2 linked regions of the Oryctolagus cuniculus genome follow. The protein of the gene in region 1 purifies or fractionates together with the protein of each later gene. This does not show direct contact. Links are inferred from orthologs where the notes say so. Each region holds a gene or a part of one and is shown on either strand. Other genes may lie near its edges.

Region 1 (4,284 bases):
GGGACCACGCGGTCCCCGGCCTCGCTCGAGCGGATCCACTCGCTCTCCCGCCAGTCCCGCGAGCTGTTGCTGCCGCAGCAGTGGAACTGCAGGGCCGAGAGCAGGGTCGGCTGAGCCGCCACGCCCGCCCCGGCCACCAGGCCCCCCCTGGGCCCCACCCACCTCCTGCTGCAGCTTGTCCACCGCGCTGGTCACTCCCTCGTGGCCTGGCTGCCGGTACTGCCTGGTCATGGTGCCCTTGAGGTTCTCCTTCAGCTCTGCGTTCAGCTGGGGGGGGCAGCTCTTCCAGGTCAGGCGGGGGGGCGGGGGCGGGGCCGGACGCCTGCCCCCCGCCCCCCCAGGCCCGCTGTGAGCCGCGGCGCTGCCTTGCCCCCCCCAGCCCTCACCTGCTGGTAGTAGACGTAGGCCAGGATGCCCGCGATGATCTCCAGCAGGAAGATGAGCAGCAGCAAGAGGAAGTACTAGGGGACAGACACCCCCGTTCTGGGCGGACCCCACGGGCGCAGCCCCCCACCCCACCCCCAGGGGCCCCACCGCTGACCAGGCGCAGCAGGTTCCTCCGCTCCTTGAAGGTGGCGCAGCAGCCAAGCACGCCAGTAACCATGACCACGACGCCGGCCACCACCAGGATGTAGGCTGTGGCCAGGTACGTGCTGGAGGCCAGCAGGCTGATGTAGTCACTCTTGAGGGCCAGCGTCCAGACCCCCACGGCCATGACGGCCAGGCCGGCCAGCTGCGGACAGCGTGCCGGGTCAGGCCGGGCCGGGGCCGGGCGCGGGGGGCGGGTGGCGCGGGCAGCCCCCCCTGCTCACCCAGAAGCAGCAGTTGTAGGTGAAGAGCAGGTACTTGAGGCAGACGGTGCCACACGTGGCCTTCTTCTCGCTGAACTCGCCCATCCTGGGGCTGGCGGGGGAGGTCGGAGGCCCGGGCACACGCCTGGCCGGGGGACCCGGAGATGCCCGGGCGCAGGGGGCAGACAGGACATGAGTCACTTCCCAGGGAGAAGGGCTCAGGAGCCCAGGACCCGGCAAGGGCTCCTGCTGACTCACTCCTGCCCGCGGCCCCACCGCGGGCTGCAGGCCCAGGACAGGGGCCCGCAGAGGCACCCCAGGGGCGGGGGACAGGGCTCTGCCCACCCTCACCGAGGCGCAGGAGCTGGAGGGTCAGCAGAAGGGCAGGTGTTCCCCCCCCGTGGGGGGGCACTGGGAGAGGCCTGCGGGCGCAGACTGGGGCTGGGGGGCACTGGGAGAGGCCTGCGGGTGCAGACTGGGGCTGGGGGGCACTGGGAGAGGCCTGCGGGCGCAGACTGGGGCTGGGGGGCACTGGGAGAGGCCTGCGGGTGCAGACTGGGGCTGGGGGGCACTGGGAGAGGCCTGCGGGCGCAGACTGGGGCTGGGGGGGCACTGGGAGAGGCCTGCGGGCGCAGACTGGGGCTGGGGGGGCACCGGGAGAGGCCTGCGGGCGCAGACTGGGGCTTGGGGGGCGCAGACTGGGGCTGGGGGGCACTGGGAGAGGCCTGCGGGCGCAGACTGGGGCTGGGGGGCACTGGGAGAGGCCTGCGGGCGCAGACTGGGGCTGGGGGGGCACCGGGAGAGGCCTGCGGGCGCAGACTGGGGCTGGCGCCCGGGGCCAGGTTTGCAGACGGGCAGCCCAGCTGCACTTTCACCTCCTGCCCCGCCCAGCACTCACCTGCGGCGGGAACAACGTCTCTGGGACAGGTGGGCGGAAGTTCCCAAGAAGCTGGGCTGCAGGGCAGGTAACAGGTTACTGGCCTGGCTCCTGCGGACAGGCAGAACCCTGCCCCAGCCTCCTAGCCACCAAGGCCGTGGCCAGGGCCCCCGGGAAAACTGGCCAGCAGTGGCCAGGCCCGGTATTTTTGTCTGGACAAGGGTGGGGCAGAAAAGGCATTCGGACAGTCCGATCCTGGGAGGGGCTTCGCCCCACCCATGCCCTCCGCCCACGAAAGAGCAGCTAGCGGGGCACAACCCCCCAAGTTCCACCCACGCCGCTGGGGAACTCAGACTCCCCGCATCAACTCCCGGGGCCACGCACAGCTGTGCCCCTGGGGCTGACTCAGAGGCCCCAGGCTTTGTGAGGCTACTGGGGTTGGACCGGATCCCCGCCACCCGGCCAGGCAGGGCGGCCCCTCCAGGGACGGCTGGTGGCCGTGAGCCCCCGGGGACAGGAGCGTGGGAGCCTGGGTGGCCAGAAATAGATACAGCGGCCGCGCGCAGAGCCGTCCCGGGCCTCTCCCGCGCCCCAGTGCGGGGGCTCCGGGGCTCCGCAGCTGGCGGGTTCGGGCGCAGTCTGCGGTGAGGTCACCGCTGGGGCCGGGGCCCGCCCATATGCACAGGGCAGGGGTGGGCCTGCGGGCGGAGGGAAGGGGCCGGGGTCGGAGACACTGCGTGGGGCGCTCGGGCTGGGAGTTTCAGGGCTCCGCGCACGGCGGGGACGCCCGCCAGTCCCAGGGTTCGGGAGGCGCCTCCCCCACCCCGACCGCCTGGCGCCGGGCTCCCCCGGAAGGGCCTGCGGCCGCGTCCGGCGGGCGTAGCCTCCCGCGCGCAAACGCCGGGCCCCGCGACCAGGCGCGCAGGGGCTGCGGGCCATCGGCTTCGCTCGTTCGGCCCGGCTCGGCCGCGCACTCACCGGCCACGCGTCGGAGTCGGCCCGGGCTGCGGCGCTGCGGGGGCGGCGGTTCCAGCGGAGAATGCGCGGCAGGGGCCGCTGGCGAGACGCCCCGCCCCCGACACGAGCTGCGGCCACGCCCGCGGCGCCGGGCCCCGCCCCCTGGACGGGGCCACGCCCGCGGCCCGCAGACAGCGCCAGGCAGGTCTGAGCCGGCTTCGCGAAGTGCGGGCCTCGGCGGAGGGAAGCGGGGCTGCGGAGGGGCTGGAAAGGAGGCAGAGACCACCGCGCGGAGGTCCCCGACAGCGGCGAGATCCGGCGGCCTCCCCGCGTCGGCAGAACCGAGGCCGGCCCGGGGCGGGGGAGGGTGAGGGGGCTTCGCGCCGGTGCGTCTGGGCCCCCACCCCCGGGGGTCTGTCAGTCTGTCAGTTCGGTTGGCAGGGCTGCGTGCCGGGAAACGCACTCGGGGTTGGCTGGTGAGCGTGGGAACCTCCACTGGCCGCCAGGTCCCACGGAAGGGACGGTGAGGGCTCGGGTGACGACCCACGGCCGGAAGCCCCCCGCCCCGCACCAGGGCCACGTGCCCCGCACAGGTACCGCGCACTTGCACGACGCCGAGGACGAGGCAGTGCAGTCCCTGGACTTTATTTGGCAGTTTTTATGATTTTTCCCCGCTGGACACCGATGCGGACAGGAGGAAGACGCCCCACTGCCCCCCAACCCCTACTCGGCCCCTGCGCCCGCAGGGCTTCAAGGCGCGCCCTGTCCCGCTAACGCCCTGTGCGTGGCTCGGGCCGGTCAGCGTGCACTGGGAAGGTGGCCGGAGCCACGTCTGGGGGGACGAGTCCAGCCGCCCAGCGTGGGCCCGGGCGGGCAGGCGGTGGCCGGGGCCTTCCTGCGGCCGGGGCCCAGCAGCCGGGCCTCACAGGCGTCCCTCGCGTCGCGGAGCCGCGTGTTCAGCTCCCTGGGGAAGGCAGAAGGCGAGGTCGGAGGGGTCCCTGCCCTCCCGGAGGGGCCGGGGCTGCGTGGCGCCCGCCCGCACCTGAGCAGCTCCAGCTGCCGCAGCAGGCTGCGTTTCTCCTTCTGCATGTTCCTGGACACCGCGACCACGTCTCTGCGGGCGGGGAGGGGCGGCCTGGATGCGGCGGACCGCTGGGGAGACCCCTCCCCTGCCCCGCAGGCCCTGGGGGGTGGAAGTGGCCCGGGCCGGGGCCGCGCCTGCCCCGCCCGCCGCACCTCTGCGTTTGCTCCTGGCGACCCCGCGCGTCGCCCTCCAGCCTGCGAAGCTGCTCCTGCGCCCCCTCGAGCTGCGCCCGCAGCGCCTCGTGGGCGCGCCACAGCTGGGCGTTCTGGGCCTGCGCCTCCAGCTGCTCCGCGACGCGGGCCTGCAACTGCTGCTCCAGCTGCGGGTGTCGGGGGCGGAGGCTGGCGAGGAAGGCCCGCCGCTTCCCGGGGAGCCGCGCCCGCCCGTTCCGGGGCCCGGGACCTCGGCAGGGCCAGGAGCGCTGGGGAGGGGCGAGGGCTGCGCGCTCACCTCCCGCTGCCGCAGCCCCGCGCGCTCCAGCTCCTGCTCGCAGCTCTGCAGCTCCACCTCCAGGCGGCCCCTCCACTCCTCCCGCGGCGGGTTCTGGAACGCGCGGGCACCTGAGCCTCCGCTGG
Region 2 (3,500 bases), on another chromosome or scaffold:
TGGACTGCTTGGCCTCCTGAAATGTGAGTGATGCATTCCTGTGGTTTGTGAGCTGTCTGGTTCCAGCTGCCCAGCAGGACTGAGCTGTACATCCATCTTCTGCCTACCCACTTTAAAAATAATGAGCATTGGTGCCAGCACTGGGGCTAAATAGGTTAAGCTGCGCCCACAGTGCCAGCATTCTACATGGGCACCAGTTGGAGTCTCAGCTGCTCTACTTCCAGTGCAGCCTCCCTGCTAATGTACCTGGGAAAGCAGTGGAAGATGCCCAAGTGCTTGTGTCCCTGCACCCATGTGGGAGACCCAGAGGAAGCTCCTGGTTTTGGTCTGGCCCAGCTGTGGCTGGTGCAGCCATCTGGGGAGTGAACCAGTGGATAGAAGACCTCTCTCTATGTATGTATGTATCTATCTCTAACTCTGCCTTTCAAATAAATTAAATCTTTAGAAAAATAAAATAAAAATAATGAACACTGACTTTCTTAGTATCCTCAGTTCTCCACAGTGCCACGTTGGATGGATGGATGAATAAATGAATGTTCTGGAATTCTGACCACTTCAAAAAGACTACCTTGCTTAAGAACTTACTATTTCCATGGTCCCTGAACTGTGCCTACTGAATACAATGGCACTTTAAGTTTTTCAAGGTTTCTTCTAAAACAGAGTTAATTTTTAAAAGGCAGCTTTTTGGCCACAAGGAGGCTGTCCAGTTTCTCCAGCACTCTGCTGCAACACCTTGGGTGCGGCAGGAGCAGGAGACAGCCGGCGACGAGCAGGCAAGCCTGGAGATGCACAGGACAGGAAAGGAAGGGTGGAAAGCAGAACATCACAGCATGGCAAACTGGGTCTGAGTGAGACAAGGCCGTACCCGCGGGTGGACATGAGTGGGTGAACTGTGAGGACAGGCACGACTTCTTCATCTGTGCTGAGCACACAGGGATACAGGAGCCCAGAGGCAGAGCGCCTGTTACACAGATGATGTTTCCTCTCAGAAGGGAAGAGCTAAAAACTGGCCTGGAGAACAAAGAAGGAAAACTACTAATTTTCCCAACATTCCTACCAATTCGGAAGTCTGAAGTCACCCTCCTCATCTCATTCATCAGATCCGTCCCGAGACTCTTGACGTTCTCCAGATCATCTTTCATGGAGTAGGAGAGGTCCATGAGGTAGTAGAGGTCGATGGGGTAGTCTTCAGCACGCTTGAACTTCAACGTGAACGTCTGGGGCTCCCCTAGCCAAACGGGTCAGAAAAGATGTTAGCAAGCCAAGAACCAAGAACAAGTGAGAAAACCAAATGGATCTGATTTACAGGGCCAACAATGCAAGATGAAATGCACTGTCATAAACTTAACAAAACTCACTGGGTCTATACTCAATTTCATTCAACCAATACTTGACACTCCAGACCTCGGGGTGAAAAAGACAACATGCCGGCCAGCACCACGGCTCAATAGGCTAATCCTCCACCTGCGGCGCCGGCACACCGGGTTCTAGTCCCGGTCGGGGCACCGGATTCTGTCCCGGTTGCCCCTCTTCCAGGCCAGCTCTCTGCTGTGGCCCAGGAAGGCAGTGGAGGATGGGCCAAGTGCTTGGGCCCTGCACCCCATGGGAGACCAGGAGAAGCACCTGGCTCCTGCCTTCGGATCGGCGCAGTGCTGGCAGTAGCGGCCATTAGGGGGGTGAACCAACGGAAAAGGAAGACCTTTCTCTCTGTCTCTCTCTCTCACTGTCCACTCTGCCTGTCAAAAAATAAAAAAAAAAAAATTAAAAAAATAAAAAGGCAACATGCCCAACCTACACTAGGTAATCTATGTCTAAATCATCCATTTTTCAACGGTCTTGGGCTGGATAGGTCACAGGGCTGACTCTCATTCTAGAGACTGGCATTCTAAAGGAACTCAGGTCTTGGTCACAGGAAGCCACCACATGAAAGAAAATCACAGAATACGATTTCTGCTTTAGAAAATCTGGGTAAAGTTTTACAATTGGATTATAGAGTCAAAGACCAGTTAAGGAATGATGGAAAATTCAAGGGGAGGTGATGAAGATCTGAATTGAAACAGTGAGGATAGAGAACTGGAGACAGAGTTGTCGGCATACTTCAGTCACGAAACACAGGAGAATGAGAGGTTCAGGTGAAACATGGTTAAAAATCCTGTCTACAGACAGTTCTGGGAGACAGGTCAGAGGAACTGTTTGGAGCTCAACAGAAAAGTTTGTGTTGCTGCAGCTTTTAAATCATGACAGGAAAGCCAAGTTGTAAAGTGGACCACAGAGATGGGGACAGGAAGAGACACAAAAGCCTAGAAACCAACAGTGAAAGCTCAGAGAAGCCAGGAGCACCATCCTGGGTGCAGGAGGGTCAGAACAGACCAGCAGGCGCACGAGCTGTGGTGTCAGCCCAGTGCAGCGGCTGTGCTACAGTGGACTCAGCAGCAGGTGGACTGCACCAGGCTCAGTGTGAGCGCAGGGGCCAGGGTGAGGGGGACCGAGCACCACCACCTCCTGACACAGCACAGGAGTGGGTCACACACTGCCACAGACACTGACCAAGAATAATTTTAAAATACTGCACAAGAAAGGAAACATTACAATGTTGCCTTTATGATAATCGAAAATGAATCTTGATGTGAATGGAACGGGAGAGGGAGCAGGAGATGGGAGGGTTATGGGTGGGTGGGAAGTTATGGGAGGGAAAAGCCATTGTAATCCATAAACTGTACTTTGGAAATTTACATCTACTAAATAAAAGTTAAAAAATAAATAAATAAATAAAAAAGGTTGCCTTTATATAATGTAATCAAATCAGAAAATGGACAATACTTGTAAAGCCCATTAAGTCTAATTCACACTTGCCGAATCATTAGCAGATTTTACTTCTGACGATGGCAACATTTAACATTACTCCAGGAATATGCATTTCACAAGCTGTGTGTTTTCAGAAAACTCTGTAAAGCTGGCCAGCGTCAGCTGGACTGGGGGCCTGCCTGTGAGGACGGCACTTCAGGGGCAGATGGCTGGGCCCGCACCTGATCGCAGCTGCAGAACCAGCTGCTGGGGCTGGATCTGAGTGATATCCTCCGGCTGCAGCTTCTCTGCTGTGCCTTTGCTACGGTTGGTGACATTCTTATTTTTCTTTATGTCTCTGGAACCTCTGGGATTCTCTATGTCGTCTGGATGGCAGCCTTTCTTTTTCAAGGCTTCTAAGTCATCACATCGTGCAGAAGTAGGCATTCCTTCTTGCAAAAACGTCTAAACGACATTAAAACACAAGTCAGAGTACAAAGAGGGGCATATAATATAGCTCATTTCTACCTTTTAAACAAAATGCTCCCTTCATCCAAATCATAGAAAGCACTCTTGTTTAACAACAAAATCATTCCTGAAAAACTCATACCTTTCCCAGGACTGACTTACTAAGTGTTCATTTTAAATGTCTCACTCTTTGATTCCGAAGACGAATTTCTTGGTGAAATCACATATTCAGTGGGATCAACAGCTAC

The links. Proteins that work in one complex are often made in the same cells at the same time.
Region 2: the proteins of CD151 (region 1) and ITGB1 purify together in Homo sapiens (affinity purification with western blotting; 4 studies listed by BioGRID and IntAct, with this or other methods). This does not show direct contact. The link is inferred for Oryctolagus cuniculus from reciprocal best matches to the Homo sapiens genes CD151 and ITGB1.

What each region holds. Positions count from the first base shown.
Region 1 is NC_091432.1:348,230-352,513, reverse strand, and holds the start of CD151 (CD151 antigen), read right to left. Parts: upstream 2,801-4,284; 5' UTR 2,647-2,800; intron 1,746-2,646; 5' UTR 1,690-1,745; intron 937-1,689; exon of another isoform or gene 904-936; 5' UTR 897-903; coding exon 813-896; intron 734-812; coding exon 542-733; intron 462-541; coding exon 387-461; intron 268-386; coding exon 163-267; intron 87-162; coding exon 1-86. Other genes in the region: CRACR2B (EF-hand calcium-binding domain-containing protein 4A), read right to left, coding at 3,424-3,589, 3,668-3,739, 3,862-4,028, 4,160-4,252. UniProt on the Homo sapiens protein: Structural component of specialized membrane microdomains known as tetraspanin-enriched microdomains (TERMs), which act as platforms for receptor clustering and signaling.
Region 2 is NC_091444.1:108,918,883-108,922,382, reverse strand, and holds part of ITGB1 (integrin beta-1), read right to left. Parts: intron 3,250-3,500; coding exon 3,027-3,249; intron 1,229-3,026; coding exon 1,058-1,228; intron 1-1,057.